Anolis sagrei: one gene and its partners. The protein of the gene in region 2 interacts with the protein of the main gene of each other region in a pairwise test. Links are inferred from orthologs where the notes say so. Each region holds a gene or a part of one and is shown on either strand. Other genes may lie near its edges.

What was found.
Region 1: the proteins of TFIP11 (region 2) and ZC2HC1C interact in binary tests that used the Homo sapiens proteins (3 or more experiments, as listed by UniProt). The link is inferred for Anolis sagrei from reciprocal best matches to the Homo sapiens genes TFIP11 and ZC2HC1C.
Region 3: the proteins of TFIP11 (region 2) and GPS2 interact in binary tests that used the Homo sapiens proteins (3 or more experiments, as listed by UniProt). The two-hybrid records come from large-scale screens. The link is inferred for Anolis sagrei from reciprocal best matches to the Homo sapiens genes TFIP11 and GPS2.
Region 4: the proteins of TFIP11 (region 2) and LMO1 interact in binary tests that used the Homo sapiens proteins (3 or more experiments, as listed by UniProt). The two-hybrid records come from large-scale screens. The link is inferred for Anolis sagrei from reciprocal best matches to the Homo sapiens genes TFIP11 and LMO1.

The regions. Positions count from the first base shown.
Region 1 is NC_090021.1:304,973,496-304,981,211, forward strand, and holds the start of ZC2HC1C (zinc finger C2HC domain-containing protein 1C), read left to right. Parts: upstream 1-4,694; 5' UTR 4,695-5,104; intron 5,105-7,716. Other genes in the region: ACYP1 (acylphosphatase-1), read right to left, coding at 216-431, 1,502-1,702.
Region 2 is NC_090034.1:60,703,966-60,711,234, reverse strand, and holds the start of TFIP11 (tuftelin-interacting protein 11), read right to left. Parts: upstream 3,015-7,269; 5' UTR 2,859-3,014; intron 1-2,858. UniProt on the Homo sapiens protein: Involved in pre-mRNA splicing, specifically in spliceosome disassembly during late-stage splicing events. Intron turnover seems to proceed through reactions in two lariat-intron associated complexes termed Intron Large (IL) and Intron Small (IS).
Region 3 is NC_090026.1:4,566,085-4,573,394, reverse strand, and holds the start of GPS2 (G protein pathway suppressor 2), read right to left. Parts: upstream 3,018-7,310; 5' UTR 2,922-3,017; coding exon 2,828-2,921; intron 988-2,827; coding exon 878-987; intron 1-877. UniProt on the Homo sapiens protein: Key regulator of inflammation, lipid metabolism and mitochondrion homeostasis that acts by inhibiting the activity of the ubiquitin-conjugating enzyme UBE2N/Ubc13, thereby inhibiting 'Lys-63'-linked ubiquitination.
Region 4 is NC_090021.1:250,807,676-250,815,682, reverse strand, and holds the start of LMO1 (rhombotin-1), read left to right. Parts: upstream 1-5,004; 5' UTR 5,005-5,838; coding exon 5,839-5,863; intron 5,864-8,007. UniProt on the Homo sapiens protein: May be involved in gene regulation within neural lineage cells potentially by direct DNA binding or by binding to other transcription factors.

The DNA of each region.
Region 1 (7,716 bases), on a different chromosome or scaffold from region 2:
AATCCAATTTTTGCATACTTCTGGAGGTATGCTCTATTAACACATCAAGGTTATACATTACTAAGTCTGACTATATATTTGGCCATTCAATAAACACTAAATAAATAACATTTGGGAGTGAACAAATATGCATGTAAACAATGAACAAACAGAAAACTAAAGGGAAAACTTGAGGCTCTTTCCATGAATGAGGTGCTGTGCTCCCTTGGCCCTTGTTATTTGACAATAGAAAAATCACTATGTTCTAAGCGAGTGATCTTCTTCTCGCTACGGAATTCAGCTCGGTCAATGCGGGACTTGGGACTTCCAGTCTTCTGAAGCCATTCTTGAAGCTGCCGAACCTTGAGAGTTGGGCCTTGGATCTGTCCTTTCACAGTGCCTTGGTCAGTGTTCTGGACCCAGCCAACTACACCTAGTTTTTTTCCTTGAGCCTAAAGGAGAAAAATCCATATACAGAATATCTCCTGAAGAAGATGCAATGATCTGTCTGAATACAGAGAAAAGTATAAGCTGCCTTTTTTTTATAAGAATCGATTTCCTTAAAAGAGTAAAAAAAAATGCTGTTCAACTCGTTTCTGTTATCAACCCTCTATCCCCACCCCTGGAAATGCAAAATGAATATATTTTAAGCTACTTTGGGTGTCTTTAGAAATATAAAGTGAGACATAAATAAATAATAGCCAGACAGCTGATTCTAACAGCATTAACCTTGAATGTTTCTGCTCTTAAGTAGGGTCCCTTCAACGCTGCCCTATATTCCAGGACCCCATAATAATAATAATAATAATAATAATAACAACAACAACAACAACAAGTTTATTTGTACCCCGCTACCATCTCCCCAAGGGACTCGGTGCGGCTTACATGAGGCTGAGCCCAAATACAACAATACAGACAATAAACAACAATACAAGCCATTAAAAATAAAAAAAGATAAGCAATAAAATATACAACATTATCACTAAGACAACACACAATTAAAAACAGTGGGAAGGCCAAATGTAAAGTTAAAATTGGAAATAATGTTGGGATAATGTTTATCCCAGATTATATGGCAGTGTAGACTTATATAATCTAGTTCAAAGCAGATACTCTGGGATCAGATCATGGGATATTGGGCAGTGCAGATCCAACCTCAAGGCCCTTCCACACAGCCATATGACCCAGAATATCAAGTCAAAAAATCCACAGTATCTGCTTTGAACTGGGTTATCTGAGTCCACACTGCCATATATCCCAGTTCAAAGCGGATAATGTGGGATTTGATTCAGGTGTGTGGAAGTGGCCTTAGCCTCACTCAACTCAAGTAGCCTTAATTTATGTTAGTCCAGGTATGGGAAAACGTTGGCCCTCCAGGTGTTTTGGACTCCAACTCCCACAATTCCTAACAGCCGGTAGGCTGTTAGGAATTGTGGGAGTTGGAGTCCAAAACACCTGGAGGGCCGAAGTTTGCCAATGCCTGTGTTAGTCAAACCCTTGACATGCCAGGATGGGCAGATACCTGTGTGTATTTGCGGAAAAACACCTCTTGCACTTTCCCGAACACTTCGTAATCGATTGACACGAGTCCATCTCCCTCAGCCATGGTCAGCGGTCCCTGGATCAAAAGTAAAAGTGCCATTAGGCCAGAGAGATAACGCAGATACAGAGCCCATATCCCCCCACCAGCCCCCAGAGATGGCTCCATGAGGAGAGCTGGCATGTCCTCTGAAGGGGGAAGTCGAAGGCCAAATGTCAAGGCAAGGGCAGAGGGTAAACCCTGCCTTCATTTGCATCTTCATGCATATGTAAAAAGGGGGCGGGGGATCGCTTTTGGCACCTGCAGGGTCTTTGGGGCCGCCTGAACGTATACCCGACAGCCTCCCTTCCTCAGAAGAGGGGCCGCCTTCCTCAGCCAATCAGCAGCCAGCTCGCGCGTTCAGGGTTCTAACCGCCACTAACGGCTCGACTGCGAAACCACAGAGCTGGCCTCCGTCTCTGACTAGAGAGGCCCCTCCCTAAGCCGTAGTCCGGAAGTGAGGCTGTTAGGAATTGTGGGAGTTGAAGTCCAAAACACCTGGAAGGAGGCCCAAAGTTTGCCTATGCCTGGTATATACATACACACACAAATATACTATATATCAGGCATGGCCAAACTTTGGCCCACATTCCAGGTATTTTGGACTTCAACTCTCCCAATTGCTAACATCCAATAGACTGGGTTGTTGGCGATGTTCCATAATAATAATAATAATAATAATCTTTATTTATACCCCGCCACCATCTCCCCAATGGGGACTCAGAGCGGCTTACATGAGGCCAAGCCCAAATGATAATTACAATAAAGAAAAACCAAAAACACAAACCGAAAACACGAACAATAAACAATAAAATCATAGTTGCATAAAACATATGAATACATAACAATATTAAAAAATATGCACAGGCACAATAATAATAGGCAGGCTACATGTAGTGATTAAAAAGACAAACTGATGAAAACTGATTAAAATTCTCTCCTGACGTTTCGCCTGCATCTATGGCAGGCATCCTCAGAGGTTGTGAGGTCTTGTTAGAAACTAGGAAAATTGGGTTTTTTCAACAGATCTTAGAGGAGGTGTGGTTTTAAAAAGGGAATTTTCAGAGATGTTCCTAGTGCCTATATTTATTTATTTCCAGCATTTATATCCCGTCCTTTTCAACCTCCAAAGAGGGACTCGAGACAACTTACATTTGGCACAATTTGATGTCATTAAATATAACATAGCGATATAACAACAATTAAAACAATAAATAGAATATTAATTAAAACAATAAAAATAGTATTAACCGCTGTATCACCATTCCAGTCTAATTCCATATCCAAAGTGCTATTTATGCCTGCTGTCCAAAAGCCTGGTCCTAGACCCACGACTTAAATTTCTTCCTAAAAGACAGGAGGGATGAAGCCAATCTTACCTCGTTGGGAAGCAAGTTCCACATGCAGGGGGCTACAGCCGAGAAGACCCTGTCGTTCGTCCCCGCCAGATGTATTTGCAACACTGGCGGGAGCGAGAGCAGGGCCTCCCTGGATGATCTTAAACTGCAAGGCGGGACTTAGTGGGAGATGCATTCGGACAAGTAAGCTGGGCCAGAACCGTATAGAACTTTATGGCTCAAAACCAGCACTTTGAATTTAGTTTAGAAGTGGATTGGTAGCCAGTGGAGCTGACACAAGAAATGGGTGGCGTGCTCCCTGTATGTTACTCCAGTTAGTAATCTGGCTGCAGCCCGTTGGACTAGTTGAAGTTTCTGAACAGTCTTCAAAGGCAGCCCCACATAGAGTGCGTTGCAGTAATCGATTCAGGATGTAACAAGATGTGCACCACTGAAAGATCTGAAAGAGACCTCTTTGTTGCTCATTAGTTCAGACGTTTCCGACTCTTGGTGACCTCATGGACCAGCCCACACCAGAGCTCCCTGTTGGCCGTCACCTCCCCAACCTCCTTCAAGGTCAATCCAGTCACTTCAAGGATACCATCCATCCATGTTGCCCTTGGTCAGCCCCTCTTCCTTTTTTCTTCCTTCCCCCCCAGCATAATTGTCTTCTCTAAGCTTTCCTTTCTTCTCATGATGTGGCCAAAGTACTTCATCTTGGCCTCTACTATTCTTCCCTCCAATGAGCAGTATTTATTTATTTATTTACTTTATTTATATACCGCTTTTCTCAGCCCTCAGGCGACTCAAAGCTGCGAACAACATCGATACAAAGCATCACGAGACAAGTATAGGGCAATTAAAAACAATTGTAACATAAATCATTAAACATCAGAATAACAATCATTAGTGCCTCAACAGTAAAATCAGAATCCAGTCTCATCATACATTATTCCATTCCTATGTTCAATGACATTGTTTAATCAAATGCTTGTTTGAACAGCTAGGTCTTCACTTTCCTCCGAAACGCCAGCAGGGAGGGGGCCGATCTGATATCTGCAGGCAGGGCGTTCCACAGCCGAGGGGCCACAACCGAGAAGGCCCTGTCTCTTGTCCCCGCCAAGCGTGCCTGTGATGCAGGCGGGACAGAGAGCAGGGCCTCCCCAGATGATCTTAGTGTCCTAGTCGGTTCATAGGAGGAGATGCGTTCGGAGAGTAGCATGTTCCAGAGTAGTAATGAGATCACTGACAAAGAAACAGCAAGAAATACTGTTTACCGCCACAAGCATAAAGAAATTACATATATTATTTATTTATTTATTTATTTATTTATTTACTGTCCTTGTATACCGCCGTTTCTCAGCCTAACTGGCGACTCAACGCGGTTTACAACAAAATATACAGTGCACAGTATACAATTAAAACCATAAAAAACATAATACACAATATTACACGAAATCACAAAATCACAATCCAATACATCTCCTAACTAAAATCGTGGTCCAATTGCATCATCCATATTACCAATCCGTAATCAACACATTCATTGCACCGAATTAACCAAATGCCTGTTTGAACATCCAAGTTCAAGTCCAACCCAAATGGACTTCAACTCCCAGTCTCCCCTGCCACTACAGTGAGCGTCAAGGGATTATGGGAGATGTAGTCCAGCGGCGCCTGACAGGCCCGATTGGCACTTCGCGTAAAAAGGCAGAACAGGAATGGCTAGGCGGCATGTGCGTGAGCGTTGCTAGGCAACAGAGGTAAACAGCCTACCCAGAGAATCGGGGTCAGAAGGTTGGCGCGGCAGCGGAGGGAAGCAGGGAGAGGGGGCGTGGCGGCGCGCTAGCACACGTTGCCATAGCGACGTGGCCGCTCTTTGGGCCTCGCGGCGTTTCGAGGCAGGAGATCCATGTCTCCTCGTTATCGGTGGCGGGTAAGCCCTCCGGGCAGTTGCTAGGAGAGGACGCTTCCGTTGTGTGACGATGCTCTAACTCGCTGCCCGCCTGCCTCCTGAACGAGATGGCTCTCGATAGTAAACACACCAGAGTGCGAGCGCCCTTGAACTAGAGACGTCACCTCCACTTCACGAAAATTAGCATAACTGCGACCTGAGGCTCCTGCCAAACCCAGGGCTCGTTTCTTCAGAACCAGAGGCCAGAACCAAACGCCCGTTTTCTTGCTGTACGTTTGAACGAACCGCACTGGGGTAAGTCATCCCTGAGGGAAGACCTCTGTCTTAACCCTTTGGCTGGCTTTATTTGCAATATATACCAGGCCTGGGAAAACTTGAGCCCTCCAGAGGTTTTGGACTTCACTCCCACCATTCCTAACAGTCTCAGGCCCCTTCCTTCCTTGGGCCCTCCAGGGTTTTTATTATTATTTATTTATTTATTTATTTTATTTACTTTACTTGTATACCGCAGTTTCTCAGCCCAACAGGCGACTCAACGCGGTTTACAACAAGGATAAGAATCAATCAACGATATATAATTTAAAACCATAAAAGCATAATATACAATATTGACACAACAATAGACAACACAATGCATCTCATAACTAGAGTCGTGATCCAATCCGTCGTCCAAATTTCCATTCCTGTAATCATCACATTCATTGCACTGTTTAACCGAATGCCCGTCCAAACATCCAAGTTTTTAATCTTCTTCGGAACACCATTAGCGAGGGGGCTGATCTTACCTCCATAGAAAGGGCGTTCCACAGCCGGGGGGCCACCACAGAAAAGGCCCTGTCTCTCGTCCCCGCCAGCAGGGCCTCCCCAGAAGATCTTAGGGTCCTGGTGGGCTGATAGGCAGAGATACGTTCGGATAGGTAACTTGGGCCAGAACCGTTTAGAGCTTTATAGGCCAACGCCAGCACTTTGAATTGAGCCCGGTAGCATTATTATTATTATTATTATTATTATTATTAATTTAGGAACTAACGGTCCCCTGCCACGCATTGCTGTGGCCCAGTCTGGAGATCTGGAAAATAATTAGAAAGTGTTGGTTTCTCATATATGTAATTTCTTTATGCTTGTGGGTAAACAGTATTTCTTGTTCACTAGAGTTAAAAAAAACTCTAAAATTACAACAGCAAAACAACAGAGAGGAAACAATCAGGCACATCTAATCACCTCTCAACAAAAGATTGCCCCAGGCACCAACATGCCACATCGCTTCACTTCACTTTATTTCTTAATTAGTCGCTCTCCACCAAGGTGCTCCGAGCGACTTACAATCTAAAATAGCATTTACACAATATAAAAACATTCAACATAAAAACATTCAACAACATCAAACAACTGCCAGGCCATCAAATGCTAATCAAGGTGGTCAGTTGAAACATTCACACCTAGCTCCAGCAGACAAGAGTTCTTTGTTCCACCCTGGTCATTCCACAGATATATAAACCCATTTCCCTAGTTCCAACAGACCTCACTACCTCTGAGGATGCTTGCCATAGATGCAGGCGAAACGTCAAGAGAGAATGCCTCTAGAACATGGCCATATAGCCCAAAAAAACCTACAACAACCCAGTATTCCTTGTTGTTTCTTTGTCAGTGTTGATGTAGAGATTGTCTGGTTTGCCTACTCTGGAACATGCAACATATTATTGTCCATCTTTAGGGGTCCCTTTCAAATCTATGAGACTATATCTGTCATATACATATGTGTGTGTCTCTGTGTGCGTGTGTATCACATATATCTATCTATATCTATGGCTGGATGGCTCTTTGTCAGGAGGCATTTGATTATGTTTTCTTGCCCTGGTGAAGGAAGTTGGACTGGATGGCCTTAAGGCAGCATTTCTCAACCTGGGAGTCGGGACGCCTGGGGGGGTTGCAAGGGGGTGTCAGAAGGGTTGCCAAAGACCACAAGAAAACACAGTATTTTCTGTTGGTCATGGGGGTTCTGTGTGGGAAGTTTGGCTCAAGTCTATCGTTGATGGGGTTCAGAATGCTCTTTGATTGAAAGTGAACTATAAATCCCAGTAACTACAACCCCCAAATGTCAAGGTATTTTTTCCCCACACTCCGTGTTCACATTTGGGCATATTGAGTATTCATGCCAAGTTTGGTCCAGATGCATCATTATTTGAGTTCGCAGTGCTCCCTGGATGTAGGTGAACTACAACTCCAAAACTCAAGGTCAATGCCCACCAAACCCTTCCAGTGTTTTCTGTTGGTCATGGGAGTTCTGTGTGCCAAGTTCGGTTCATTTCCATCATTGGTGGAGTTCAGAATGCTCTTTGACTGTAGGTGAACTATACATCCCAGCAACTACAACTCCCAAATGGCAAAATCAATTTTTTGAGTGATGGTTATTCCTTGCTTTAGATGTCTTGTGGTCAAATTTGGCAGCAATTCGTCCAGCGGATTTTGAATTATGATGTCACTCAAAACGAACAGAGCATTTATTTACACGCACACACTAGCTGTGCCCTGCCATGCGTTGCTGTGGCCTATAGTAAGAATTTTCGAAGTAGAGGTAGATATCTGGACTATTATGAAAGGGCATTACTTACCTATTCCTTCCCTTTTTCTTCCCCTTCCCCTTTTTATCCTTTCTTCCTTCTCTCTTTCCTCCCTTCCCTCCCCCTTTCTCTACTTTTTATTTTGTCTCCTTTCTTCCATTTCCTTCCTTCTTTCACTTTTTATTTCCTTTTCTCCTTCCTTCCTTCCTTCCTTCCTTCCTTACTTACTTACTTACTTACCTCTTTCCTGCCTTTCCTTACCTTTTCCTTTCCTTTCTACTTTCTCTTCTTCCTTCCTTCGGTACCTCTTTCTTTCCTTCCTTCTCTTCTTCCTTCCTTCCTTCT
Region 2 (7,269 bases):
GGATGTTTGGCCCAATTCCATCATTGGTGGGGTTTGGAATGCTCCTTGATTGTAGGTGAACTATAAATCCCAGTAAGTTCAACTCCCAAATGTCAAGGTCTATGTCCCCCAAACTCCATCTGTGTTCATATTTGGGTGTATTGAATGCTTGTGCCAAGTTTGGTCCAGATCCATCATTGTTTGAGTCCACAGTGCTCTCAGGATGTAGGTGAACTACAACTCCCAAACTCAAGGTCAATGCCCACCAAACCCTTCCAGTGTGTTCTGTTGGTCATGGAAGTCCTGTATGCCATGTTTGGTTGAATTCCATCATTGGTGGAGTTCAGAATGCTCTTTGATTGTAAGTGAACTATAAATCCCGGCAACTACAACTCCCAAGTGACAAAATCATAATATTTGAGTGATGATCACTCCTTGTGTTGTGAGACGTTTTGTTGCCAAATTTGGTGTGATTTCGTTCATTGGTTCTTTTGTTTTTAAGGTATTCATTATGCACAGAGCATTTATATATATATATACACACACACACTAGCTGTCCCCTGCCACGCATTGCTGTGGCCCAGTCTGATGATCTGGAAAATAAAGTAATGAGAAAGTGTTGGTTTCTAATATATGTAATTCCTTTATGCTTGTGGGTAAACAGTATTTCTTGGTTTTTTTTTCAGTGTTGATGTGGAGAGTGTCTGGTTTGCCCACCCTGGAACATGCAACATATAATTGTCCTTCTTTAAGGGTCCCTTTCAAATCTATGATACTATGTGTGTGTGTGAATCATATATATCTATCTATATCTATATCTGGATGGCTCTTTGTCAGGAGGGCTCTGATTACATTTTCTTGCCCTCGTGAAGAAGAGAGTTGGAGTGGATGGCCTTAAGTATTTTCTGTTGGTCATGGGGGTTCTGTGTGGGAGGTTTGCCCCAATTGCTGGGGTTCTGAATCCTCTTTGATTGTAGGTGAACTATAAATCCCAGTAACTACAACTCTCAAACATCAAGGTCTATTTCCCTCAAACTTCATCTGTGTTCATATTTGGACATATGGAATATTTGTGCCAAGTATAGTCCAGATCCATCATTGTTTGAGTCCACAGTGCTTTCTGGATGTAGGTGAACTGCAACTCCCAAACTCAAGGTCAAGGCCCACCAAACCATTGTAGTATTTTCTGTTGGTCGTGGGAGTTCTGTGTGCCAAGTTTGGTTCAATTCCATCATTGTTGGAGTTCAGAATGCTCTTTGATTGTAGGTGAACTGTGAATCTCAGTGACTACAACTCCCAAATGTCAAGGTCTATTTCCTCCAAACTCCATCTGTGTTCATATTTTGGCGTATTGAGTGCTTGTGCCAAGTTTGGTCCAGATCCATCATTGTTTGAGTCCACAGTGGCTTCTGGATGTAGGTGAACTGCAACTCCCAAACTCAAGGTCAAGGCCCACCAAACCCTTCCAGTATTTTCTGTTGCTCATGGGGGTTCTGTGTGCCAAGTTTGGTTCAATTCCATCATTGTTGGAGTTCAGAATGCTCTCTGATTATAGGTGAACTATAAATCCCAGCAACTACAATTCCCAAGTGACAAAATCATAATTTTTTGAGTGATGGTCACTCCTTGTGTTGTGAGACGTGTTGTTGCCAAATTTGGTGTGCTTTCGTTCATTGGTTCTTTTGTTTTTAAGGTACTCATTATGCACAGAGCATTTTTATATATATAGATAGAAGATAGATAGATAGATAGATAGAAGATAGATAGATAGAAGAGAGAGAGAGAGAGAGAGAGAAGATAGATAGACAGATAGAGATATAATAGATAGATAGATATAGAAGATGGATAGAAGATAGATAGATAGATAGATAGATAGAGATATAATAGATAGATAGATGATAGATAGAAGATAGATAGATAGAGATATAATAGATAGAGAGAAGATAGATAGAGATATAATAGATAGATAGATAGATGATAGATAGAAGATAGATAGATAGAGATATAATATATAGAGAGAAGATAGAGATATAATAGATAGATAGATAGATAGATAGAAGATAGATATATAGATAGAGATATAATAGATAGAAGATAGATAGATAGATAGATAGATAGATAGAGATATAATAGATAGAAGATAGATAGATAGCAGATAGATAGATAGAGATATAATAGATAGATGATAGATATAGATAGATGATAGATAGATAGAAGATAGATAGATGATAGATAGAAGATAGATGATAGATATAGATAGATAGAGAGAGAGATAGAAGATAGATGATAGATATAGATAGATAGATAGATAGATAGAAGATAGATAGATGATATAGATAGATAGATAGATAGATAGATAGATGATAGATAGAAGATAGATAGATAGAGATATAATAAATAGATAGATAGATAGATAGATAGAAGATAGATAAATAGATAGAGATATAATAGATAGAAGATAGATAGATAGAAGATAGACAGAGATATAATAGATGGAAGATAGATAGATAGAGATATAATAGATAGATAGATAGCAGATAGATAGAGATATAATAGATAGATAGATAGATAGATAGATAGATAGATGATAGATAGAAGATAGAGAGAGAGAGAGAGAGAGAAGATAGATAGATAGAAGATAGAGATAGATAGATAGATAGATAGATAGATAGAAGATAGATAGATAATTGCATATTATTATATACAATAGAATAAATATAATAATAAATACTGTTTAACCCACTGTTTCCAGGCAGAACAAGCCCCGTAACGGTTTCCATGGCAACCCTTTTATAATAGTTTATTAATATAAAATATATTAATATGTGATAGTCATAAATATGGCAATAATAATAATATTATATATATATATTTCTTACCTTCCTTCTTTCGTGAAAGGGAAACAAAGGCCTGCTTCTTCTTCACAGCCTTCTCCTCGCTGAAATGAGCGCCACTTCCTGTTTGGCCTTCAAGCGACTGCGACTGCGCCTGCGAGCTCAGCGTTGACAATGGTGAAGCCCGCCCCGGAAGTGACGCCTTGCAGGAGCAAGCGGATTGAATGAGGAAACAATAATGGGCGACGTAGCGACGTTTCGTGGTGACCGCCCTCATTTTCTCATCTCTGACTTTCTAGTTTTTCGTCTCGATGGTTACGGTGGCCCGAAAAGCTCATTTCCAGACTCATAGGATGAAGCTCATAATAAGAATACTAATGACAATAATAATAATAGTATACTATAAAATACACAAATTGAAAACAAGAATGTGTGTGTGTGTGTATATATATTTATATATATATATATGTGTGTGTGTGTATATATATATATATATATATATATATTGAAAATAAGAATATAATAAAATATGGATATAATATAATAATTTTTAAATATAATTTATTTATTTATCATTTATTTACTTCATTTGTATACCGCCATTCTCAGCCCTAACACGACTCATAGCAGTTTACAACAAGCAAAAACAAGGCGAACAATCAAGGCAAAAATTCAATGTGGCATCAAGAAGGTACTTAAAAACAGTTAACACAGAAACAAATTAAACAATTTAACACTAATAAACATTCAGTGGCGTCTCATAACTAGAATCATGATCCAAACTTGTCAGTCGTAGTTCCATTTCCTGAAATTCATTGCACTGCTTATTCAAACGCCTGTTCAAATAACCAGGTTTTCACTTTCCTCCGGAATACCATCAATGAGGGGGCCAATCTGATGTCCGTGGGAAGGCCGTTCCACAGCCGAGGGGCCACCACCGAGAAGGCCCTGTCTCTTGTCCCCGCCAGCCGCGCCTGTGTTGCAGGCGGGATCGAGAGCAGGGCCTCCCCGGAAGATCTCAAAGTCCTAGTGGGTTCATAGGTGGAGATGCGGATAGGTAACTTGGGCCAGAACCGTTTAGGGCTTTATAGGCCAAAGCCATGTGTGCTATAATGTCAATCAAAATCATAAATCTCCTGGTTCCATTATATGCAAATTACTGACTGCTTTAAGGAAGACAAAAAGAAAGACTTCTCCCCACAAGAGTCACTGTGGGACAAAATAATGGAAAAGGATAAAAAAGTGGTCAGAACCCTTTATGGGAAACTCCTGGAGTGGGAAACTGAACTGGAAGTTGTAAAGGAGAATATGACCAGCTGGGCAGCTGATTTCGGGCACTCTATTCTCCTCAGCGAGTGGGAGGCTATATGGAAGAGAAAATTAAAATTTGCAAAATCCACCAACATACTAGAAAATTGGCAAAAAATCTTCCACCGATGGTACCTAACTCCACAGAAGATGGCAAAATTCCACAAAGGAACGAACAGTGACTGCTGGAAGTGTGGGGGGGAGCTGGGTACCCACTATCACGCATGGTGGCAGTGCAAAAAAGTCAGGAACTTCTGGCGGGAGGTGCATAGGGCAGTGCAGAAGATCCTGCAGATAAAAGTGGAGTTTAAAGCAGAATATTATCTTTTACATTTATTAGATTTTCAGTTAGACCCTAACAAAGATATGTTGTTGTTTCACTTCTCAGCAGCCGCCAGAATTGTGCTCGCCGGCAAGTGGAAGAGTAAGGAATTACCAAAAATTGATACCTGGCTATTAAAAATTAGAGATTTAATGGAGATGGACACTCTTGCAACTATGACTTACGAGATTAGCGAGAGACGCAAGATTGACTGGCAACCATTCAGGCAATATTTGAAAGAAAAGAAGAGTATAATTTTATAATTTTACAAGATTTGGGAAGCGGCGTAGACGATCAAGAGACTTTGTTTTCTATTGTTACTAGTATAACTCTGCTGAATCTCTGAGGAAGTCCACTTGTTGATTGTAACTTGTCGATAGAATGATGCCTCTGTAATTGTGTGTGTAGGTGCTATGTAGCACCAACCTTCTAGCACCCCCCCCCACTAACCTTCCCCCCCCCCCCCCGCCCACACTTTCCCTCCCTTTACCCTATACCCACCCCAACCCCAGGGCTGACTGTGGAATATGTAATGTTTATTGTGCAATATTCAATGCCTAGCGGACCATAACTGAATATTTGTGTAATTGTGTAACTGTGTAACAGTGTAACAGTGTAACTGTATAATTGTACGTTTTAGCTATGTGTCTTCAAAAAAAAAAATCCTGAATAAACACTATTCAAAAAAAAAAATCAAAATCATAAACAACTAATGAACAACTGCATAGCTAACTTAGACCAATGAAATGATTTGTCTTTGGGAACCAATGAGATGATTGATTTCTATGTACCAATCAAACTGTTTTAATGAAAGTCATAAATAATCAATGCAACCAACTTTAGGTTGGACAAACCCCTTTATTGCATTTCCATATGCATGTTTGTCACTATTGCTTCAGCTGCGCAATAAATAGCATTTTGCAGTTTTAAAGATTCAACTTTCGTGGTGTCCTTCCTCGCCCTCCTTGGGAAGGGGCAATCTGCTCTTGGATTTTGGATTTGTGGATTGTCTTGATCGTTTTTGCCCCTACACCAGCACTTTGAATTGGGCCCGGTAGCAAATTGGTAGCCAATGGAGCTGGAGCAACAGAGGGGTTGTATGCTCCCTGTGTGCCGCCCCTGTTAGTATCATGGCTGCCACACGCTGGACCAATTGAAGCTTCCGAGCCGTCTTCAATGGCAACCCCACGTAGAGAGCATTGCAGTAGTCTAAACGGGATGTAACAAGAGCATGGACTACCATGGCCAAGTCAGACTTCCCAAGGTACGGGCGCAGCTGGCGCACAAGCTTTAACTGTGCGAATGCTCCCCTGGTCACCGCTGAAACCTGGGGTTCCAAGCTTAGTGGAGAATCCAGGATCACACCCAAGCTGCGAACCTGCGTCTTCAGGGGGAGTGCAACCCCATCCAGCACAGGTTGTAACCCTATACCCTGTTCGGCCTTGCAACTGACCAGGAGTACCTCTGTCTTGTCTGGCTTCAGTTACAATTTGTTCGCCCTCATCCAGACCGTCACAGCGGCCAGACACCGGTTCAGGACCTGGACAGCCTCCTTAGTAGCAGGTGGAAAGGAGTGACAGAGTTGGACATCATCATAATATACACAATTAAATTATTTATTTTATTTTATTTTATTTTATTTGTTCTCAGCCCTTAGGTGACTCACAGCGGTAAACAACAAGAACAGCAAAAATTCAATGCTACAATAACACGGTATAAAAAACAGTTGACATCATAACACATTATACAATAATATACAATTAATAACAATAGCCATTCACTAGCGTCTCGTCACTGAAAAACATGATCCAGATCCGTCATCCATTGTTCCATTCCTATGTTCATTACATTCATTGCACTGACTATGTTCATTACATTCATTGCACTGCTCAAACAACCAGGTTTTCACTTCTTTGCGGCATACCATTAATGATGGAGCTAGTCTAATGTCTGTGGGAAGGGCGTTCCACAGCCAAGGGGCCACCACCGAGAAGGCCCTATCTCTCATCCCCGCCAGCCGTACCTGTGAGGCAGGCGGGATTGAGAGCAGGGCCTCCCCGGAAGATCTCAAAGTCTTGGTGGGTTCATAGGCAGAGATGCGGTCGGATAGGTAGCTTGGGCCGGAACCGTTTAGGGCTTTAAAGGCCAACGCCAGCACTTTGAACTGAGCCCGGTAGCAAATCTGTAGCCAGTGGAGTTGGCACAACAGGGGGGTTGTATGCTCCCTGCGTTCCGCTCCTGTTAGAATCATGGCTGCCGAGTGTTGGACTAGTTGAAGCTTCTGAGCCGTCTTCAAAGGCAACCCCACGTAGAGAGCGTTGCAGTAGTCTAAACGGGATGTAACCAGAGCGTGGACTACCGTGGCCAAGTCAGACTTCCCAAGGTACGGGCGCAGCTGACGCACAAGCTTTAGCTGTGCAAATGCTCCCCTGGTCACCGCCGAAACCTGGGGTTCCAGGCTCAGCGTTGAGTCCAGGATCACACCCAAGCTGCGAACCTGCGTCTTCAGGGGGAGTGCGACCCCATCCAACACAGGCTGTAACCCTATGCCCTGTTCGGCCTTACCACTGACCAGGAGTACCTCTGTCTTGTCTGGATTCAGTTTCAATGTATTTGCCTTCATCCAGACTGTGACAGTTGCCAAGTTCAGGACCAGTTCAGTAGCAGGTGGGAAGGAGAGATAGAGTTGGACTTCATCTGTGTACAGATGACATTGAACTCCAAAACTCCAGATGATCTCCCCCAGTGTAAATGTCAAACAACATGGGGGACAGCATTGATCCCTGTGGGACCCCACAAGTCAATGGTTGTAAGGTCGAGCAGGTG
Region 3 (7,310 bases), on a different chromosome or scaffold from region 2:
TCATTTTGAGTAGATATGTTTGTACCTTGTGGGTTGTGTTATGGGCATGGGAATTTTGGTTAAGTTTTGTTGGGGGTTTTTAGAGTTTTGCTGTCCCGTTGAACCAACCTAACAGATTTATATATATAGATTTGTGTGTTTTTAACTGTGCTGTGACCTCCCCAAGCTGTGGGGAGTGGCGGGCAAGAATTATTATTATTAGAAACACAACAAGATGAGTCCACAGCAGACAAGATCACTCTGCTGGCTGTTGTATTGGATCACATCGGACACTTCCCAAGTGTCTAGGACTCTGTCCTGTATCGGCCAATAATTCATGCAGATCCCAGTAAGGTGGCCTTTTGCTGCTGGCAGGTCGTAATTTTGTCGGCGCTGATTGTGTTTAAGTGCAGGCCAAGGTCCTTAGGCACTGCACCCAGTGTGCCCATCACCACTGGGACCACATTTACTGGTTTGTGCCAGAGTCTTTGTAGTTCTACTACTACTACTACTACTACTACTACTACTATTACTATTATTATTATTATTATTATTATTATTATTATTATGTCTGTTTTAACTCCGGGTTGTTGTAGGTTTTTCGGGCTATATGGCTATGTTCTAGAGGCATTTTCTCCTGACGTTTTGCCTGCATCTATGGCAAGCATCCTCAGAGGTAGTGAGGTCTGTTGGAAATAGGAAAACTCCACTGAAAGGATTTACTCAAAAGGGAGAAGAGGATTGTTAGTGAGGCTTGCTGCAACTTGTGCTGCTGCTATACACAATTTTAAAAGGGACATGAGCCTGCACATTCTTTAGCATCTTTGGGGAATCCTGGAATGAACGCCCTGTGGATTCCGAAGGCACACGGCATTGGAATCTGGTCCCAACCACCGACCTGCTCCTTGGTCTCCTCCAGAGACATGCGCTCCTCCATCTCTTTCTTCTTCCGCCTCTCCTGCTCCTCTTTCATCTTCTGCTCCATCATTTTGTCTACTTCTTCTTCCTCTGCAGGACAGAAAGAGAGGTCCACAGATAATTGATTTCCTGGAACAATACAGGGACAATGTCGAGTGCAAAACTTTAATTTGGTGCTAGTCGGAAGGGTCAACCTCAACTCAGAGGAAGGTGGTTGCTGTGTGCCTCAAGGTGATTCTGAGGGTCTTATTTGCAAGATTTATCCTGAAGGGTTTTCCTGTTGCCTTCCTTTAAGGCTTAGAGAGGCACTTTCCCAAGGCCACTCAGGGGCTTTTTATGGCCGAGCGAGGGTTCATTTGATCCCTGGTCTTCCAGAGTTCTAGTCCAGTACTTAAACTCTTACATCAGTGGTTCCCAACCTTTTTTTTTTTACTGAGGGTTGGACTGGATGGCCTTTGGGTGTCCCTTATAACACCATAATTCTATCTATCTATCTACCTACCTATCTATCTACCTATCTATCTGTGGGTTGGATTGGATGGCCTTTAAGTGTCCCTTCCAATGCCTTTCTACCTATTTATGTATCTATCTGAAAGTTGGGCAAGATGTCCCTTGGATATCCCTTCTAACGCCATTAAGCAATGAATCGATGTATCTATCATCTATTGGGGTTGGGTGGCCTCTGAGTGTCCCTTGTAAGTGTATGATTCATTCATTCATTCATTCATTCACTCTTTCTTTCATTCTTTCTTTCTTTCTATGCATCTATCTATCTATGCATCTATCTGAGGATTGAACTGGATAGCCTTTGGGTGTCCCTTCTAACACCATAATTCTATCTATCTATCTATCTATCTATCTGTGGGTTAGACTGGATGGCCTTTAAGTCTCCCTTCCAATGCCATGAATTTATTTTTCTATCTATCTATCTGAGAGTTGGACTGAATGTCTTTTGGGTGTCCCTTCTAACACCATGATTCTATCTATCCATCTGTCTATCTATGGATTGAACTGGATGGCTTTTCGGGTCCCTTCTAACTTCATGAATCTATCTATCTATCTATCTGAACGTTGGACTCCAATGTCCCTTGGATATCCCTTCTAACGCCATGAAGCGATGAATCAATGTATCTATCATCTATCTATTGGGGTTGGGTGGCCTCTGGGTGTCCCTTCTAAGTGCATCTATCTCTCTATCTATTTATCTGTCTGTGGGTTGGACTGGATGGCCTTTGGGTGTCCCTTCCAATATCATGGATTTATTTTTCTAGCTCTCTATCTATCTGAGAGTAGGACTGGATGTCTTTTGGGTGTCCCGTCTAACACCATGATTCAATCTATCTATCTATCTATCTATCTATCTATCTATCTATCTATCTATCTATCTATGGATTGAACTGGATGGCTTTTCGGGTCCCTTCTAACTTCATGAATCTATCTATCTATCTATCTATCTATCTATCTATCTGGGGGTTGGACTGGATGTCCCTTGGATATCCCTTCTAACGCCATGAAGAGATGAATCAATGTATCTATCATCTATCTATTGGGGTTGGGTGGCCTCTGGGTGTCCCTTCTAAGTGCATCTCTATCTATCTATCTATCTATCTATCTATCTATCTATCTATCTGTGGGTTGGACTAGATGGCCTTTGGGTGTCCCTTCTAACTCCATAATTCTATCTATCTATCTATCTATCTATCTATCTATCTATCTATCTATCTATCTATCTATCTATCTATCTATCTATCTATTTCTCTCTCTATCTATCTGTGGGTTGGACTGGATGGCCTTTAAGTGTCCCTTCCAATGCCATGAATCTATCTATCTATCTATCTATCTGAGGGTTGGCCTGGATGTCCCTGGGATGTCCCCTCTAGCGCCATGAAGGAGTGTATCTAGCCTAGCTGCCCCTCTCCCCGGGTCTCACCCTGCCGCTTCCTCTCCCGCTCCACCATCACGTGCCGGTGCAAGGCCCGCGCCATGGCCGAGCTCAGCTTCGGCCGCTCCAGCAGCGCCGGCATGGCGAAGGCCGGGGAAGAGAAGACCCGAAGGCCCAACGAGGAAAAAAAGAAAGAAAAGCGCTCTCCTCCTTCTCCTCAGACCCGCCCGCTTCCGCTATTACTACGGCTACTTCCGGTTCCGGCCCGCGGTGCCACGCTGACAGCCGCCCCTCCCGCAACACGGAGCAAAGGACTTCCGTTCCATTTCGTCCCCTGCCAACTCAGACACAGCAGCTGCATCCGGGGACTTGAAGTCTTAGAAGAGTGGGTTTCTGGGAGAAGCTGCTATTGTTGTGGCTCAAACGAGCTCATATTGTCATTCCAATATGTTTATTCATATGTTTATACACACACACACACACACACATATACACACACACAAATCATAGAATCACAGAATCAAAGAGTTGGAAGAGACCTCCTGGGCCATCCAGTCCAACCCCATTCTGCCAAGCAGGAATATTGCATTCAAATCACCCCTGACAGATGGCCATCCAGCCCCAGGAATATTGCATTCAAATCACCCCTGACAGATGGCCATCCAGCCCCAGGAATATTGCATTCAAATCACCCCTGACAGATGGCCATCCAGCCCCAGGAATATTGCATTCAAATCACCCCTGACAAATGGCCATCCAACCCCAGGAATATTGCATTCAAATCACCCCTGACAGATGGCCATCCAGCCCCAGGAATATTGCATTCAAATCACCCCTGACAGATGGCCATCCAACCCCAGGAATATTGCATTCAAATCACCCCTGACAGATGGCCATCCAGCCCCAGGAATATTGCATTCAAATCACCCCTGACAGATGGCCGTCCAGCCCCAGGAATATTGCATTCAAATCACCCCTGACAGATGGCCATCCAACCCCAGGAATATTGCATTCAAATCACCCCTGACAGATGGCCACCCAACCCCAGGAATATTGCATTCAAATCACCCCTGACAGATGGCCATCCAGCCCCAGGAATATTGCATTCAAATCACCCCTGACAGATGGCCATCCAGCCCCAGGAATATTGCATTCAAATCACCCCTGACAGATGGCCATCCAGCCCCTGTTTAAAAGCTTCCAAAGAAGGAGCCTCCACCACACTCCAGGGCAGAGAGTTCCACTGCTGAACAGCTCTCACAGACAGGAAGTTCTTCCTCATGTTCAGATGGAATCTCCTCTCCTCTAAATAATATATAACTAATAACATATGGAATATATTATATATATGCGTTTGAATATATAAATAATAATATATGGAAAATATATATTATATAAATATATACACATATGAATAAATAGTATATAAATAATAATATATGGAATATTATATATATATGCATATTAATAAATAATATATAAATAATATATGGAATGATATGTAGTATATTATATATGAATAACAATATAGTATGAATAATATGTAACAATATAATATTAATATATATACCAAAAAAGGGAAATGCGAAAGACTGCGCCAACTTCCGTACAGTAGCTCTTGTTTCTCATGCCAGGAAGGGAATGCTCAAGATCCTGCAAGGAAGACTCCAGCAATACATGGAGCGAGAGTTGCCAGATGTTCAAGCTGGGTTTAGAAAAGGAAGAGGAACGAGAGACCAGATTGCCAATATCCGCTGGAGAATGGAGAAAGGCAGGGAGTTTCAGAAAAACATCTATTTCTGCTTCATTGACTACTCTAAAGCCTTTGACTGTGTGGATCATAATAAATGGTGGCAAGTTCTTGGTGGGATGGGCATCCCAAGCCCCCTTGTCTCTCTCCTGAGGAATCTGGACAAGGACCAAGTAGCCACAGTCAGAACTGACCACGGAACAGGAGACGGGTTCCAGATTGGGAAAGGCGTACGGCAAGGTTGCATCCTCTCACCCAACCTTTTTAACTTGTATGCAGAACACATCATGCGAGGATGTGCGGGGCTTGAGGAATGCAAAGCTGGGGTGAAAATGGCTGGAAGAAACATTAACAACCTCAGATATGCAGATGACACCACTCTGATGGCCGAAAGCGAGGAGGAGCTGAGGAGCCTTCTAATCAAGGTGGAAGAAGAAAGCGCAAAAGCCGGGTTGCAGCTCAACATCAAAAAAATGCGAGTTGCTTACGTGTAACTGCGTTTCCACGTGTGATAGTCTGTGAAATTCGCACATAATGGGTTTTGTTCTGCGCATGCGCAGCCGTTCGGAACCTTCTAGAATTTTCAAATAGAAACTTTTAATTGGCGGACGCCCCGCCCAAACTCCCCATACTATAAATGCCCAAGGCGGGAAACCTCGACTCAGTTCCGCAGCCGCTATCAGCAGCTATAGAACAAGCATGACTACTGCGGAGAGGTCGGGCGGGGATGTGCGAATTTCACAGACTATCACTCGGGAAACGCAGTTACAGGTAAGCAACTCGCATTTCCCCTTCGTGTAGTCTGTGAAAAACGCACATAATGGGTGAATAGCAAGCTACCAACCTTCGGAGGTGGGAGTCATGCGACACTGGAAAACAGCACCGCTCTGCCGAAGGCTGCATCCTTCCTTGCCATCGCATCTAGCCTGTAGTGGGAGGCGAATGTTGACGAATTGGACCATGTCGCTGCTTTGCAGATGTCGTCAATTGGAATACCCCTCAGGAAAGCTTGCGAGGTTGACACCGCCCTAGTGGAGTGGGCGTGGATCTGCTGAGGGGGCTCTTTCTTTGCCAGCAGGTAAGCAAGTCTGATGGTCGAGACGATCCACGAAGCGAGGCGCTGGGAGGAGACAGGTAGCCCTAGAGAGTCCTGGCGGTATTTCAGAAAAAGCTTGACTGACTTCCTGTGGGGGGCGGTTCTGCTAGTGTAGAACGCTAGAGCCCGTCTGACATCTAGAGAATGCAGGGAAACCTCCAGAGGAGAAGAAGGATTCTGGAAGAAGGCCAATAGAGAAATGTCCTGTGACAGGTGAAACTTAGAAACAACCTTTGGTAAGAAGGCGACGTCTGGTCGGAGGACCACCTTCTCTTTGTGGAATCGTAGGTAGGGTGCGTCAACTCTCAAAGCACAGATTTCACTCACTCTCCTGGCCGATATAATGGCCACGAGAAAGGCCGTCTTCCATGAGAGATGCGACAGGTCGCATGTGGCCAGTGGCTCAAAGGGTGGTTTGGAGAGCTGTGACAGCACCAGTTCTAGACTCCACGCTGGGGGAGGAGGCATGACAGGTGGGTGTAAGTTGGAGTACCCCTTAAGGAAGAGCCGTATCGTGGGGTCATGGAAGCACGATGGTCTCCCTGTCTGTCTCCAGTACCATGATAGTGACGCCAGGTAGCATTTGATGGAAGACAAGGAGAGCCCTTTGTTGGACAGATGCACTAGAAAGTCCAGTATGACCCCCATCGGGGCTTCCCGGGGGTTAACATTCAGAGGCTTGAGGTATTCCCGGAAGCGTGACCATTTGTATGCATATGCTTTCTTGGTCGTGGCTTTTTGGGCCGCTGCGATTATGTCCTGCACTGCCTCCGAGAGAGGGGCTGGACCCGGATTCTCCACGCTGTGAGGCGCAGGGAGACCAGGTCTGGGTGATACACCCGGCCCTCCTGGATGGAGAGGAGGTCCGGTCTGTCTCGTAGATGGAGGTATTCGCCTCTCGAAGCTTTGAGGAGGGGAGCGAACCAGTGCTGGCGCGGCCACCAGGGGGCGACCAGTATCGCATCCGCGTTGTCCTCGATCAATTTGGTCAGCACCCTGGGAATCAGCGGGATTGGGGGGAAGGCGTATAGTAGGCCCGGTGACCAGCTGAATATGAATGCGTCCCCCATGCACCCTTGGGTCGATCCGGGGTGACGTCTGGCACAAAACGTGTCGCACTGTGCGTTCACTGGCGACGCAAACAGATCCAGGGTTGGTTGGCCCCAATGGCGGGACAGGAACCGGAACTCGTCTCGATGGAGTTGCCACTCGTGATTTGATGTCTGTGCTCGACTGAGGGCATCGGCGAGAGTATTGTCTTCGCCCGGGAGGTGCACTGCCGTGAGATGTATCCTTCGTGGGATGCACCATTCCCATATTGCTGTGGATAAGCCGAGGAGGTCGGAGGAGCGCATCCCGCCTTGCTTGTTTATGTAACATTTTACAGTTGTATTGTCCGTGAGAAGTTGTACAGCGCGCCCGGTGATATGGGGCTCGAAAGCACGCAGGGCCTTCTGGACGGCTAGGAGCTCGAGGTAATTTATGTGGTAGGCAGCCTCCTCGTGAGACCATCTGTCGTGCACTGTCAGATTCTGGAAGTGAGCCCCCCATCCTTGCGTGGACGCATCCGTTGTGAGGCAGCGGGATGGGCGCGGTTGTCTGAAAGCCATGCCTGCAAGGACGTGCTCCTCCGTTGTCCACCACCTGAGGGACTCCAGGACCTGGTGTGGGGGGTACAGACGGAT
Region 4 (8,007 bases), on a different chromosome or scaffold from region 2:
ACAATCCTCCCAAAATTAAGCACCTTTTAATTGTGTGGATTTCAGTAACCAAGATATTTAACTCTTCCTTGAAATCATTGGGACTTTTAAAATTGTTTTAACATTAGCTGTATTGTGCTACTAGTTTATTCGTCATTTGGAGACCATTAAACACACACAAGCACACACACACCCTGTTTGGACAAAGGAGAATAAATGGAGGAAAAAGCTAAATATCTCTACTTTAGAGGGCCTTGTCCAGCATTATCAACTATTCTTTAAAATTAGTGAGAAACGTTTAGATGGTGTAAGGCATCTTCTTCCTCTGAAATACTGTAATGATAAGAATCTGCCTCAAATAACAGAAAGTTAAAAGAAGCTAGTGGTATTATTTGGGGACAACGATGCTTCAAAAATTATTATATGAGTTCCTTCGGGGAAATAGGGTGGTCTACAAATTTATTATTATTATTATTATTATTATTATTATTATTATTATTATATTAGAGGTTGATAGTTATTGAAGTTTAATAGTATATTAGAGAAGTATTGTATTTGTTTTTATAATTCATTTCAACAACCCAAGCTGACCGAAATCCTGCTAAACAGATGCTGTGAATGTTTGAATTTGGAAGAAGTGATGCTTCCAAATGCAGTGCTTTGATGCTTTGGTCTGAAACTACTGGTGATTAGGTTTGTTGGGAATGACTGGAAGATTTCTTCTGAAATAAGGGATCGTGGTATAAAAATCCCACCTATAATGTTTGTATTCTTGCTCTAAGAAGTGGGTAGTGGCTAAAATTGGAAGTTTCGGGAACTGAATGAAATGGTTCTCTGGGCAAAATGATATATTGGACATCAAATACATCCAGGAACTATTAGGGTTAAGCATTCAAAATGAAGGGAATGACCACATTATTTGAGTTTAAGATAAGAAATCTAATTAAAAATAGGTATTATGGGTATCTGGCTTGAACTTGCTCTCATGCTTTTAAAAGGCGATTCTTGTATCTGTTGTAAAGTAGAGGGAGAAGTATCATGGAGACTGGGGGAAAATGTTTTCTTGGGTTGCAAAAAGGCAATCAGACACTTATTCTTTAGCAACACATACATAAAAGCCTTACTCGTGGTTTTTGCAGTAGAAACACAGAAACTATTGAGGATACAGTCTGAGATATATGTGCAGAGAGAGGTACTCCATTTCAGATTTGGATGTTGCCAGCTACGTTAAGTGTTGCAGTGACTTAGCTGGGAATGGTGGGATGATTGAACTGAAGGAGGGCTTTGGTGAAAGGGCTCTACACTTTCCATACTCAAGGCATCATTAAGAGGAGAGGCAGGCTCTTAATTTTCTATGAAATCCTGCCCCTTTTATGCAAGAACCCATGATTTAGATTAAGAGTTTGTATGACTATTATATTTGATATATGGTACTTGAGTCCATTGTGATACAATGGGTTAAACCCTTGTTCCAGCAGGACTGCAGCTTGAAAGGTTGGAGGTTCAAATCTGGGGAACGGGGTGAGCTCCCATCTGTCAGTTCCAGCTTCCCATGCAGGGATATAAGAGAAGCCTCCCACAGGATGGTAAAACATCTGGGCGTCCCATGGGCAATGTCCTTGCAGATAGGCAGTTCTCTCACACCAGAAGCGACTTTCAGTTTCTCAAGTTGTTTCTGGCATGAAAAAAAATGATACTGCATTCAGAGATGAGAAGCAGAGTGTGTTTTATAAAGTTATTTGTTAGATCCATTCAGACACAGAAATATTGGATGTAATGAATTCAGACATAAGGTGAAAGACTCACTTGTATGATAACCTTCAACCTTGTCTGGTGGGAACCCATTTGTTTGAAATCAAACTTGCCTCATGCATGTACACTTACCGAAGGAGAGAAAAATTACACAATGCAGGTTGATTATCCTTATCTGGAAGGAGCCGCAGTGGTGCAATGGGCGAAACCTTTGTGCCGGCTGAACTGCTGACCTTAAGGTGGTGGTTTGAAGCTGTGAGATAGGGTGAGCTTCCATCTGTCAGCCCCAGTTTCCCATGAAGGGACATGAGAGAAGCCTTCACAGGAGGGTAACAAATCCAGGCATCCCCTGGGCAATGTCTCTGCAGACGGCCAATTGTCTTACACAAGAAGCAATTTGCAATATCTCAAGTCGTTCCTGACATGGAAAAAAAAATCTGGAAGGAACTGTGATGGCACAATGGGGTAAACCCTTGTGCCAGCTGAACTGCTGACCCAAAGGTCAGTGGTTTGAATCCACAAGGCAGGGTGAGCTCTCGTCTGTCAGCTCCAGCTTCCCAGGCAGGAGCATGAGAGGAGCCTCCCCAGTCCAATTCTGCAAAAGTCCAATTCTTTCACACCAGAAGCGACTTGCAGTTTCTCAAGTTGCTTCTGATATGATAAAAAAATCCTTATCTGGAAATCCAAAATCTGAAACTGCCCACATGAGTAGCTGAGAGTGACATCCTTTCTTTCTGGGGGTTCGACATAGACAAACTTTCTCTCATGCACAAATGTATTAGGTATAAAATTACCTTTGGGCTGTGTGTGTGAAATGTATATGAAACATAAATTAATCAGTTTCCAATATACCTCATAACTTCTGAGGATGCCTGCCATATATGTGGGTGAAATGTCAGGAGAGAGTGCTTCTGGAACATGGCCATACAGCCCAGAAAACTCAGCAGCCTAGTAATTCCGGCCATGAAAGCCTTTGATAAATTAATTGCCTGTTTAGACTTGGGTCCAATCTCCATGATAGCTCGTGATATACATATATGCAAGCCCAGGCATTCCAAACATTCCAAAATATGGTTGGGGGGGGGGGGGGGAATCCCAAATACTTCTGCCTCCAAACATTTTGTATAAGGGACCCTCAACCTGTATTGTTTCACATCCCATAGTGAAAAGAGGATGCATATGGATGTATCAATCTCTAAACATTGCCTCTGGAGCATGCAATTTGATTTGTTGGAAGTCCCTGGTCATGTTGGTTTGGAAGTGAGCAGAAAGTAGGGTGTGCTTTGCAAGAGAATCTGTGTATAAATAAGAGGGGGAAATATAGGGATAAGTTTTCCCTGAAGGAAAAATATAGGGGAAGTTTTGCTTGCCCTGGAGCCCCTGATGGTGCAGAGGGTTACAGTGTGAGCTGCTGAACTTGCTGACCTAAAGGTGGCAGTTTGAATCCAGGGAGTGGGTGAACTCCTGTTGTTAGCCCCAGCTTCTACCAACCTAGCAGTACTAAAAATGCAAATATGAATTGATCAATAGGAACTGCTTTGGCGGGAAGGTAACGGCGCTCCATGCAGTCATGCTGGCCACATGACCTTGGAGGTGTTTATGGACAATGCTAGCTTTTCGGCTTAAATATGGAGATGAGCACCACCCTCCAGAGTCACACACAACTAGACTTAATTCAGGGAAACCTTTACCTGTTGCCTGCCCCACAGATTAAAGGTGGGTTCAAATCACAAGGACACGACTAGACTTAATGTCAGGGGAAACTGCCCACTGTGAGAGCAGTTCACAGTGGAACTCTTTGCCCCGGAGTGTGCTGGCAGCTCCTTCTTTGGAGGCTTTTAAGCAGAGGCTGGATGGCCATCAGTTGGGGGTGCTTTGAATGCAATTTTCCTGCTTCTTGCCAGGGGGTTAGACTGGATGGCCCACAAGGTCTCTTCCAACTCTAGGATTTAATGAAACCTTTCCCTTTTGCCTGCCCCACAGATTAAAGGTGGGTTCAATCACTAGGACACAAGTAGATGCAATGTCAGGGGAAACTGTCCACTGTGACAGCTGATCAGCAGTAGAACTCTCTGGAATGTGGTGGAGGCTCTTTCTTTGGAGGCTTTTACGCAGAGGCTGGATGGTCATCTGTTTTCTTGCTTCTTGCCAGGGGGTTAGACTGGATGGCTCACAAGATCTCTTCCAACTCTAGGATTCAGTGAAACCTTCCCCTTTTGCCTGCCCCACAGATTAAAGGTGGGTTCCAATCACTAGGATACGACTAGACTTAATGTCAGGGGAAACTGTTGACTGTGAGAGTGGTTCAGCAGTGGAATTCTCTGTCTTGGAGTGTGGTGGAGGCTCCTTCTTTGGAGGCTTTTAAGCAGAGGGATGCATTGAATGCATTTATTTATTGATTGATTTACTACATTTATATACCGCCCCTCTCAGCCCAAGAGCGACTTGGAGCAGTTAACAATCGGCAACAATTTGATGCCAAAACAATTACAATAATTAAGAATCATAACACTAGCAAACAATATAAAAATATAAAAACCTTAAAAGCATTCTCATAAGCGTCTCCATATCAAATCATTGTCCCGTTGCATTGTCAGTGGTTCCAAGATATCATATATCTATTTCGTATTTGGGAAGGCCTGCTCAGAAAGCCAGGTTTTCACCATTCTTTGAAAAGTCAGGAGGGAGGGGGCCGATCTTATCTCTCTAGGCAGGGCGTTCCACAGTTGAGGGGCCACCACTGAGAAGGCCCAAATGCATCTGCGAAGAAGGCGTGACCGAGAGCAGAAGATCCTAATGTCCTATATCAGTGATTTTCACCCTGTGGGTCCCCAGGTGTTTTGGCCTACAAATCCCAGAAATCCCAGACAGTTTACCAGCTATTAGGATTTCTGGGAGTTGAAGGCCAAAACATCTGGGGACCCACAGGTTGAGAACCACTGTCCTAAATGGTTCATAAAGAGAGATACCTTCGGATAGGTAAGTTGGACCGAAAACCGTTTCCCTGCTTCTTGGCAAGGAGTTGGACTGGATGGCCTTCGAAGTCTCTTCCAACTCTAGGATTCAATGCAACCTTTCCCTTTTGCCTGCCCCACAGATTAAAGGTGGGTTCCATTCAGGAGTAAACCTAGTGACCTGAAGAAAGATGAGCCCGAAAAGGCAGGCACAAAGTTGATGGCAAGTGCCCCCCTCCAGTGCGTTGCCTTTCCTGGGCTTAGCGCAGAAGGTGCTGCAGGTGGTGCTGCTGAGCTGGAAAGCTTTGCCTTCCCCATTAGAGCCTGACAGAAGAAGAAGAAGAAGAAGAAGAAGAAGAAGCGGGGGTCCCTGGAAATGAGCGCATTTATTCAGCAGCCAGGGCGCAAGGCTCACACAAATGGAGAGGCACAGGAGGCGGCAGCAACAGCAATAGCAATAGCAATAGCTCCTCGGCAGCGGCGGCGAGGTGTTTTCCTTCTTCCTCCTCCTCCTCCTCCTCTTCCTCTTCTTCGCCTTGGTCCCTCTCTTCCCCTCCTCCTCCTCCTCCCTCTGGCTGAGTGTAATTTTTAGATTGAGATCCAGCTTCTATCCGAGGTGGGGGGAAAAACACTTTCTCTAAGGCTGAAAGCGGTAGAGTTGCCACCGCCAAGGTGATGGGCTATCAAAGGCAATTACATTAAAACAGATTATACTGTGCAAATTGAGCCATTTAGAAGGTGAGAGAAGCACCAAAGGAGCCGCGCCGAGCCTCCCCTGCTCCTTCCTCCTCTCTCTCTCTCTCTCTCTTTCTCTCTCCCTCTCTCCCCCCTTTTGCTCCTTCAATTGCAGTTTGAGTTCCTTGCAATTCAGGGGGAAAGGCAAGTGGGAGAGGGCGCTTTTGTATCTGCAAAGTGCTGCGTTTCTCGAAGGTAATTCTAACTGAGTGCAATCTAGGTTAAAAGCCGGGCAACTGGATCATTAGAGCTCGCGCTCGCTGCGAAAGGACAATCCGCCGCGCGACGCCGGGGCTCCTCTGGGCGCCCAAGAAGAAGAAGAAGCAGCAGCAGAAGAAGAAGCAGAAGAGCCTCTCCTCCTCCTCCTCTTTCTCCTCCTCCTCTTCCTCCGCTCCCCGGACTTCCTGCGACCCCGGAGATGATGGTGCTCGACAAGGAGGACGGTAGGTGAGCCCAGCCCCGGAGCAGCAGCAGCAGCAGCGCCCGGGGAGTGTCTGCATGGGTGTGTGTATGGGTCTCTCTATGCATACATACATGCATTCTAGGCAATCCAAGCCTGCCTGGCTTCTTCGCCTTCCATTCCTCTCTCCTGACCCTCTGCCAAAGGACAGCGTGCTGGACAGTTCTGTTCCTGGATGGATATCAGACCAGAGTTCAACCCAGCTCGCTTTCCTTGGGATTCTGGGAGCAGGATAGTTTCCAAAGAAGTTTTGGGAAGGGGGAGGAGAGCGTGTTCTTTCACATTTGCAGCATTTCCTCCCATTTCTTCAACTTTCTTTTGGGGGAAATACGAACATTTCTTATGAGTGGGGCATCTTTAGCATTGGGTACCTATTATGCATCTCCCTTTCCTTATAAATAGGGTGTGATGCATAATAGGTACCCCCAATGCTAAAGGTATCCAGTGTAAATAGGGTGATGACAGGGAATGCACCTGCTAATGGGCTCTGATTGGTTGTGTTGATAGAAGGCATTCACATTTCATGCCATGAGTGATGCTTTAGAAGTTGGGCAACTGCTTCTACTTTTGGAAATGTATTCATCTGAAGCAGCCCAGGGGGGGGGGGGGGGGTCTGTTGATACTGGGAGACTTAAAGTGCACATTCAAAAGCTGTAGCATAGCTTGGTTGTAGCAGTGTAGTTTAACTCTGCCGTCCCGCTGACAGGCAACTAACCTGGGTCATTTCTAGGCAAATCAGCCAGGCAAATCACCCAGGTAACTAACCTGGGTGATTTCTAAGAAAAAATATAAAGAGAGAAAATTATTTCCAAGTCTAGGAAAATGTGTTGTCAAAGACTTTCATGGCTGGAATCACTCGGTTATTTGAGTTTTCTGGGCTGTATGGCCATGTTCCAGAAGCATTCTCTCCTGACATTTCACCCACATCTATGGCAGGCATCCTCAGAGCTTGTGAGGTCTGTTGAAATCTAAGCAAGTGAGGTTTATATGCTTGTGGACGGTCCAGAGTGGGAGAAAGAACTCTTGCCTGCTGTTTCCAATATAACTCACAGCCTCTGAGGATGCCCGCCATAGATGTGGGTGAAATGTCAGAAGAGAATGTTTCTGGAACATGACCATACAGCCTGGAAAACTCTCAGCAACCCAAGTCTAGGAAGGCACGTTATCTGTTTCAGCTTGTTATGGAACATTTTTATAAGTAGGAAGGATAATTTGCCAATTTTGGGGCCAATTATGTTCATTATTATCATTACCACTAATACTGCTACTTTTGCTATTTTGAATAGAACAGGAGAGACAACAAAGCAAAAGCTGAAAAGTTATCCATTCCCTGACATTTCTTTCGCTTTTCCTGTCAAAAAACAGCACAGGACAAGCTAGAGAGAATGAACTTAAGTGAGATAAAATGTCAGGTTTTGTGTGTAGCGATATTGTTATGATGTGCTATTACTTGTATTTCCAAAGTGACAGCTGTTAGGTGTTTGTGCATAACCATCCGTATTATCGATTACGTGGAACATGACATATTGTAATAAGTAGCCCCAATTTCTGAGGCTGAAACTCTTTCAAGTCTTCCAGAGGAAGTGCTGTTAAATAACGCTGGACCTTCAGTTGGAGAAAGTGCTCCACAGAACTTTTCATGTAGGTATATTATTTAAAGCAGTTGTGAATATTAAAAGACATCTGTAGGTTACCCAACTTGGCAGTGTATAATTATTAGTTGACAGCATTGGCTGGCTCTTTCAATAATGTCGCTTTCATCAAGGCTAATTTACCACGATGGCTGGAATGGGACACAGCTTAGAATACAATCCAAACATTTTGGGGAAATTGATAGCTATAGATGGCTCATAAAAGGCATATGATGTATCCGCTGGTGTGTTTAAAGTGAAAGAGAATAATTTGTATTTTTGTGTAAGTGCAAAATTTTCATCTCTATGTGGTGTGTTGTCTGAGTGAATGCTGTCAAGCATCATGACTAGATGTAATTTATTGCATGTGATCATTATGACCACATTTGTCTTTCAGTGAGCTAAAAATACATTTAATTTGACGTTTTAATGTGCTTTTCATCACTTGATCATTTTGACAGCCTTATTGTTTGTTTTTCTTTTTTTAAACTTTCTG